Linked DNA regions of Drosophila melanogaster. The protein of the gene in region 2 interacts with the protein of the main gene of each other region in a pairwise test. Each region holds a gene or a part of one and is shown on either strand. Other genes may lie near its edges.

Region 1 (2,799 bases), 2.9 Mb from region 2:
CTCGGAGAGCTGCTGGCACCAGGACACCTCCCCGGATCTGGAGTGTGGCATTCCCAACTGCCCTCGCCTGGAGATCTCGCTTGCAGCATAGTTGCCTCTTGGAAACACGACTATAAATGAAGCATTCGAATCATAAAGCTATGCCTAAATTATCTGTGCGGTTTTGGACAAATAAACAATGGTTTTGGTGCAATATACATAAATGACGAAATTTCAATTGGAATGGGCTAAGCTGATTGATGACGCTTCTATATGGGGTGATAAGACATGGACTAGAGTGTCACCTTCGCTATGAAGTTGCGTGTTTTTCGAGCCAGCTCCATGCAAATGATATTCAAATTGGGGAATCGCGTGGAAATATTTTCATTGAACCTTGATCCACACTCGTAAGCACTTAAAGGGCTTACCTAGTTTGAAATATTTATATGAAATTAGTCGCATATCAATTTCAGCAGTGGCAGGCTGAATCAGCACAATTATTGCTGATAACCATGACCATCCTATTACGGACCAATGTTTTTGATAATACCACAATAGATAATGATCCGATTTTATACACTTTGATTAGAGAAGATTTTGTACACATTTAGTAAGATCTATTGGGTCAGAGACTAGCCGAACAGCTGGAGATCGTAAACAATGATTCTACCAAATAGATCGGTGCTGGACTCGAAGACGAACTTTAGCTTTGAGCAGGGGTTTTCCCGGACTGATTCCGCAATCTGAAAAAGCTGTGGGGAGTTGATATCTTCTGGGTAGAATGGCTCTTGGTGAACTTGGGCTCCGTCAGCGGAGTACATGATCAGTTCGGATTTTTGGCCAGAGAATCCGCCTTGGAACTGGAAACTAAATCCAGCTACTTTCTGTGGCTCCTCCAAGCTAATGGTAATGAATTGGGGGGTTCCCTGAAATGGCCGTTTGGAGTTATATTCTTTTTTTCCAAATCTTAGGATGATACCTCATCTGAATTCCAAGAAGTTTCTTCCCGCGTATCAAACATGAATTGCTTTCCGTGCTGCTTCACATCTCTGTTTAAAACCGAGCTCACCCTGCAAACTATACGTTAACTAAAGGGAGTTACAAAATAAAACCCAGAGTACCTGCAGCTGTATTTTACTTTTGTCAAAATATTCATAATTCAATAAAAATAAGAAATAAACAAATCGGAGACCGCGAGGTTAAAGGCATTAGAGATGGGCAACAATCAGAAATCCATAGAATTTTTTTTTGTACGGATTTTTAACACCCGATTTAAGAAATTGCTTTAAAAAATATATTTTCCCTAACTTTCTAAAATATGCATGATTCTTATTAGATTTTTGAAATAAATACGTCAGATAAAGATATATCGATATTATAGATGCTATACCAAGTATTGATTTTGCAGCCCTCGTCGAAAAAGCAAAACAGCTGGCAGTTTAAACATTTTCATTTTTTTTGTTGACTTATCTTAGAAGTTGAGATGATAAAAGCCATTCTCGTTTTTAACAATCACGGGAAGCCGCGGCTATCGAAGTTCTATCAGTATTTCGTAAGTACTGCGACATATAATCCATATAATCTAGTTCATAATAAATTGTCACTATCATTTGTAGGATGAAAGCCTGCAGCAACAAATAATCAAAGAGACTTTCCAATTGGTGTCCAAGCGGGACGATAATGTTTGCAACTTTCTGGAGGGCGGAAGGTGAGCAATATTGTTCCCGCAAATTCCTGGAATATCTTAAAGCACCTCTTTCCTCCAACAGTTTGATTGGCGGATCGGATTACAAACTCATCTACAGACACTATGCCACGCTGTACTTCGTTTTCTGCGTGGACTCCTCGGAGAGCGAACTGGGAATCCTGGACCTGATTCAGGTGTTCGTGGAAACCCTCGACAAGTGCTTCGAAAACGTGTGTGAGCTGGACCTGATATTCCACGCCGATGCCGTCCACCACATCCTCTCAGGTTGGGAAAGCTACTTTGGCAATCCATTCAGATTCAGCTATCATGAATTCGTTTCAGAACTGGTAATGGGCGGAATGGTCCTGCAGACAAATATGAACGACATAATGGCCAGGATCGAGGAGCAGAACAAGATCGTCAAGCAGGAAGCGGGCATCTCGGCTGCACCTGCCCGAGCTGTGAGCGCCGTGAAGAGTATGAACATTCCGCAACAGATTAAAGACATCAAGCTACCTGATCTGCCGCAGGCCATTAAGGACTTTAAGTTCTGACAAATGTGCGTCTGATATAACTCTCTCGTCTAATTGTAATCTGTTGAATCTAGTGCTTTTTCGCAGTCCTTCATGAATTTCCAACAGCTGTCGACTGTTCCGTAATATTAGGTCCCACGTACTCTATATAACTCCCCTACCATAATAAAAATGCAAATGAATTACCAGTAGCGAGAACGAGCCTTACGATTTTGATAGCTTAACAATGCGAAGTTCAACCACTTCCGTTCTATATCGAATGGGGTTTAAAATGTACATACAAAGTGTCTTGCGATGACGTATTCGCATGATCTGTGTGCTGCATATATTAAAGATTTATACCTAAAACGGTGTCCGCTGTATTAAACATGTTCATAATTCTACAATCAACTGTTTGTAAGATCATCTTCTTCGCCGACTTCCAGCATAACTTGCATTATTTTCCGCTTCAGCCTCTTGCGCGAAACTTCAGAGTTCAGGTTACGGAATTCACTGGCGATTAGTTCGCCAAATGCGTCCCATTGATCACGACCACTTAATGGTAAGTGGAAGGGAGAGGGAGCAGCTGGAGCTTCGACAGTTCGATTTGGATCAACGAAT
Region 2 (5,113 bases):
TGGTGAGGTAAGCGAAATCGAATTGAAATCTAGCTATCTCCCGGCGACGGGCTAATTGGGTAATCATTTTTCTATCTCTTCCGCAGACAATGTGTGCCAAAACAAGACGTAATTGCTACTCAAGTAGTGTGATTCCCCCCTCCGTGTTTGTGCGTGTGTTGTGAAGTCTGTAGTTGCTAACGTTTTTCGTTGAGTGCGGAGATTGCAGTATTAGTTTATCATTATTTGGTAGTTGAAGTGAGAGTTGTATATACTGAATTTATATGGGCATGCCCGAAATTGTTATTACGTTTTAATATTTAGCAAATACCTATACCAATCCTAGCTCCTCGCAACCAAATGAAGACACAAATACAATTGTTAACAATAATTTACAAACTCTTTTCTTAGCATTTTTAAATAAACAAGAACACAAACTTTATGTTGCATGGCTCGCCTTTGAATTAAACAACTCAATTCATTACTTTGATATCAACTCTATTGCAGGCAAAGTTGGTTCAAGTAGAGATGTGCGGCGACAAACAACAAAAATTTAATTGTTTTTAATTTGTATATTTGCTTTGAGTTAAATTCAGTTACGAAAACTTACCTACGACGAAAGCTAACATAGACAACTCATCGCTTACGTTATGTATAGGGCCAAAATAATGGAACAACAAAATCGGAAATAGACATTGGCAAATGGAAATGGGCATTGGAAAGGTTTGACCTCGGATCGTAATCGTAGTATCGGAGCACAGAAATAGAGCAATAGAGTTCAAGGAGATACCAACTAATCGTAATCGTACTTCACACATAATACACAATCACTTGGGCTTGGAGCCCAAACGCCTAGTTGGACTGCTGCTGCTGCTGCTGGCCTTGCTGCTGCTGCGGCGGCTGTCCCTGACTGAAGTAGGGTGCGGTGTTTGGCGTGAGCAGCGTGTGACAGATATCACAGACTCGGGCCACTCGCTTCCGTGGTCCAGATGGCACCGTTTTCGTTAGACACTTATCGCAGTAGATGTGGCCGCAGTGCCGGCAATGGATCTTGCGCACCATGACCGTGAAGTAGGCATTGCACGTGGGACAGTTGTTCACATCGTCATCGTCCTGCCAACGCACCTCCGTGTCGGCATGCCGCAGCTCCTCCAGCGACATCTGTGGCACAACACAATGTAATTAATTAAGTGAATAAACCATATATTTTTATATCTCACTCACCTGAAGCGTTTGAGATAGTTTGACAAAGTCCTTTTGAACAGTCTCCATGGTGGAGAGTTCCTCCTGTAGTGTTTTTATCTTCGTCTTGTAGTCTGCATTTGTTTTGGCGTACTTTTCCTGTAATGTGATCTGGTTAGCGAAGAATCAAGTGTGACAACAAAATATGATAGCTTACATTGGCCTCTTGCAGCTCAATGATCTCCACGCGACACTCGGAGAGCTGCTTGTTCAGCTCAGCCTCTTTGCGCTCCAGTTGGGTTTTGGTAGTCTCGTACGCTTGTACCGTGACCAAGTGTTCCGTCACCCGATCCCTGAAAATTCATTTAAAACGTGGGCCAAAGTGAACACCACCATAGACAAGAGGTTGTAACTTACTGCAGTGACTTAATATCTAGTTGCATTTTGCGCTTGTAGGCCCGCCTTTCATTGTTGCTCTCCTCCAGCTGGGCCCGCAAGATCTGAATCTCATCTTCAGTGCTGGTGCACTTCTGTCGCTCGTATTCGCTGCTGACGCGTGCTTGGATTAGCTCGCTTTGCTGTCGCAGTATCAGCTCCTGGAGCTCGACGACCGTGTTGGGCAGATTGATATATTGGTTGTCGATCTCCTCGGACGTGGCCAGATAGCGACCGGACAGAAAGTCGTTGTCCGCCTGCAACGTCTCCAGTTGCTTGTTGACCCGCTCTCGGTCGTCGGAGACGCGCTGGATCTGCTTAATAACCTCGTCCTTGGTCTCGAGAAACTTTTGCTGCATGTCCAGCAGTCGCTGCTCGTTGGTTTTGGCCTGGTCACGCAGGCTTTGTACTTCGCTTTTGTGGGCCTCCCGCTTTTCTTGCCACTGGTCCTCCAGATCCTTGCGCAATGCCGCCTCCTTAACCAGTGTCTCCCGGGATTCCACCAGCTGCTTTTGCAGCAGATCCACCTGTTTCTGCTGTTTGTTTATATGGGCACCCAGCTCTTCGGTCTTCTTTTCTGCCAAGCTGCACGACTCGCAGGCGCTCTCGGCGACGTCCATGGACGTGGACTTGTGCAGGGCGGATTCATCGGACGCCGACTTGGCCTGCAGTTGCTCGTCCTGTTCGCGCAGCTTCACTTTTAGTGCCTTCATCTCCTCCTGAAGCTGCTCGACAATTGAGTGCATCATCTCCGCCTCCTCAGGAGCCTGCAATATAAGCTCAGTTAATTTGATAGTTGAAAGATTAGTCCCGAAAACATACGTATTGCTTGCCATTGCCCTTGCTCGATGCCCGGGTGTCCTCGTCCTGCTGAAAGCTGCTGTTCAGGGAGTCGGTGCCCAGTTTACGCACAGAGCCTAGTGTCTTCTTGACCTGATTGAGCACCTGCGGCGCTATACCGCCAGATGACTCGGCCTGCGGTTGTTGAGCCATCGTCTGCTGTTGAATCTGCTGGTACTTGCCCAGCTCCAGCCTGAGCCGTTCCACCTCGCCTTTGTAGTGCGCGGTCTCCTCGATAGTGTCCTGCACCAGCTGCTGCAGCGAGGAGATCTCCTCCTGCGCCTTGAGGTCCCTCAGCTGCAGCTCGTTCTGCGACTTAAGGTCCGCCACCATTAGGTGTGTCTTCAGCTCGTCCAGCTCCGCCTGCAGCTGCCGTCGCTCCTGCTGGCTCTGGCTGACCTCCGCCTCCTTCTGGATGTACAGCTCCCGCATCTTCGCCCGCTGCGTGTTGAACTCGTTCTGCATTTTGCGCATCTCGTTCTGCAGGTGACTGAGTTTGTGCTGGCTGGTCGCGTCATCCTCACCTGCCGTTGGAGTTATGGGTTAGTTATCGGCTGTTCAGGCTTCCTGTGGTGCTGCCTTACCATTGGGCAGGTCCGTGGGTTCCCTGGCCTCTGACCGGGTCTCGTTTTCTTCCATTTTCTATATTGTGTGATGGCCAATTTATTAGTTTATATGTACATATGTGAGCGCACCAATTAGAACATATACATTTGAGCGATTTTCAACACTGCTCTTGGTGTTACCATATTTGAATAATACCGATAGTTAATACTTTAGTATTGCTTGGCAGTGCCGTTAAAAAAGGTTTTCAAAATCTAACTTTATTGAGCTTGATAAACATCTTTTGGGATTAAGTTTTCTATAGAAGTATAGAAAGTTTAAAATATTTACTTACAGATACTTGGTAAAATAGTTTTAATAATTTCCCTTCGCCAATTTGCAAATGTATTCTTATTTTATGTCCTTTTAATGTGTCCTTTTTAAGAACCCGTTTTATTAAGTTAAAAGTCGGAATCCTTTAAAATCACTCCTTTGTCCTTTTATATCTTAGTCTAAAATCTAAATCTAGATATTCCTCGAATTTTTTGTTATCATCAGCCATCAGGAACTATAAATAGAAAAAGAAAACAAATGGGTAAGGAATATAAATAAACAATACCATATAATTTAAATTTGTATAATGTTTATAATTGCATCTTAATCGTTCTTAATTATTTAGGATTTTCTTAAGCATTTCCTAGAAAGTGTTTCAACATTTGTGTGTAAGCCAAATGACAACGGCAGAATATATTAGACACAATTCTATGAAAAGGTAAATGACTGCCGATCATGAATGACTAATACCGTCAGTTCTTTTAATTTTATGCAAATTATTAAGCGCCAGAAACGCGAGAAAACGCTAAGAGCTGATAAATTATGAGAGGAAAATGAATACTTCAATAATGCCTAGCTAATGAGAAAACATATTTAAATATAACAATATAGCAAACTATTTGAGATAACAAAACTACGCGTTAACCAGAACAAAACTCGATTTCAGAATTTCGGCATCGGCTGAGGAAGCCGAAAACTTGACTAATTATAAAATTATCATGGCTGTACACTACCAGAAATTGGAAAACATTTTAGTCGATAGGTAAAAAATAATTGTACGCTGTAACTAATGTTAACTTTAAACATTTGTTAACCACCTTATAGCCAATAATATTAATTAAATCATAGCATTAGGCATTACATAGACCATTTTTTTCGTCAGTGTACGCTGAGATCCGTTGGGTCTTCTAGGTCTTGGACTTGTTGGCAGGCTTGTGAGCTCATGACTTTCGATGTCGTCATAGTCGGCAGCCGGAGATTCGTGGCCGATACAAATACTACAGCATTATGCCCAGCGACAACAGCAGCGATGTTGGCCAAAATATTTGGCGTCTGTTCAGTTCGCATTGGATTCAGGAACGAGGCGGTCGGAAGCGGGAAAAAAAAGTACGCGAAGAAATAAATACGCGGCGCCTTGGAATCGCGACGGCATTTCTACTTATAAACTTAAAAATAATACAAATATATAAGTACAACCGCCGCGATATATGTATGTGAACGGAACTTGAATAATGACCATAAAGTGCCCAATGTTTTGAGTTCCTACGGATATCAATTAGAAAATTGCAAAGCGAATCCATATAGATTCCCGGATATACCAAAAAAAAAACCGACCATGTCGCAAACCCAGAGCATAACACCCATTCCCAGCACACCGCCGCCTTCACGGCGGGCAAATCGACCGCCCAGGATCAACATCCACAATCTGACCAGCGGATCGGCAATGAGCCAGGCATCGATGCCACCCAGTGCCCAGCCACCCTATACGGCCCAAACGAACTTCACGGGCAATGGAACACAGGGACCCTACTGGCCACCAATGGCCAATCCCTTCGGATACGGCAACTTTATGACCAAGGGCTACGAGGGCTTCCTCGATATCACAAAGTCGGGCTTGAGCTTCGGCGAGAAGATGACCTTCGGCATGTACAAGTGGTCGCGCCGATGGTTCACCCACATCTTCCTCATCCTCATCCTGGCACTATACAATATCGGCGGTGCCGTTGTATTCCGCACAATCGAAGGTGAGATCCATGACCCAGAACATCCAGCTTCTATAGATCAATTGGCTTATCAACTG

Evidence for each region. Proteins that work in one complex are often made in the same cells at the same time.
Region 1: the proteins of Rbpn-5 (region 2) and CG34213 interact in a two-hybrid assay, tested with the Drosophila melanogaster proteins (one large-scale study listed by BioGRID).

Annotation. Positions count from the first base shown.
Region 1 is NT_033778.4:23,966,558-23,969,356, forward strand, and holds CG34213 (uncharacterized protein), read right to left. Parts: upstream 1,189-2,799; 5' UTR 1,136-1,188; coding exon 1,101-1,135; intron 1,050-1,100; coding exon 959-1,049; intron 906-958; coding exon 612-905; 3' UTR 567-611; downstream 1-566. Other genes in the region: Alas (aminolevulinate synthase), read left to right, coding at 1-91; or (orange), read left to right, coding at 1,463-1,531, 1,596-1,687, 1,749-1,951, 2,009-2,220; CG10904 (uncharacterized protein), read right to left, coding at 2,586-2,799.
Region 2 is NT_033778.4:21,087,852-21,092,964, forward strand, and holds Rbpn-5 (Rabaptin-5), read right to left. Parts: upstream 3,154-5,113; 5' UTR 3,076-3,153; coding exon 3,021-3,075; intron 2,961-3,020; coding exon 2,419-2,960; intron 2,364-2,418; coding exon 1,579-2,363; intron 1,515-1,578; coding exon 1,379-1,514; intron 1,321-1,378; coding exon 1,204-1,320; intron 1,141-1,203; coding exon 832-1,140; 3' UTR 535-831; downstream 1-534.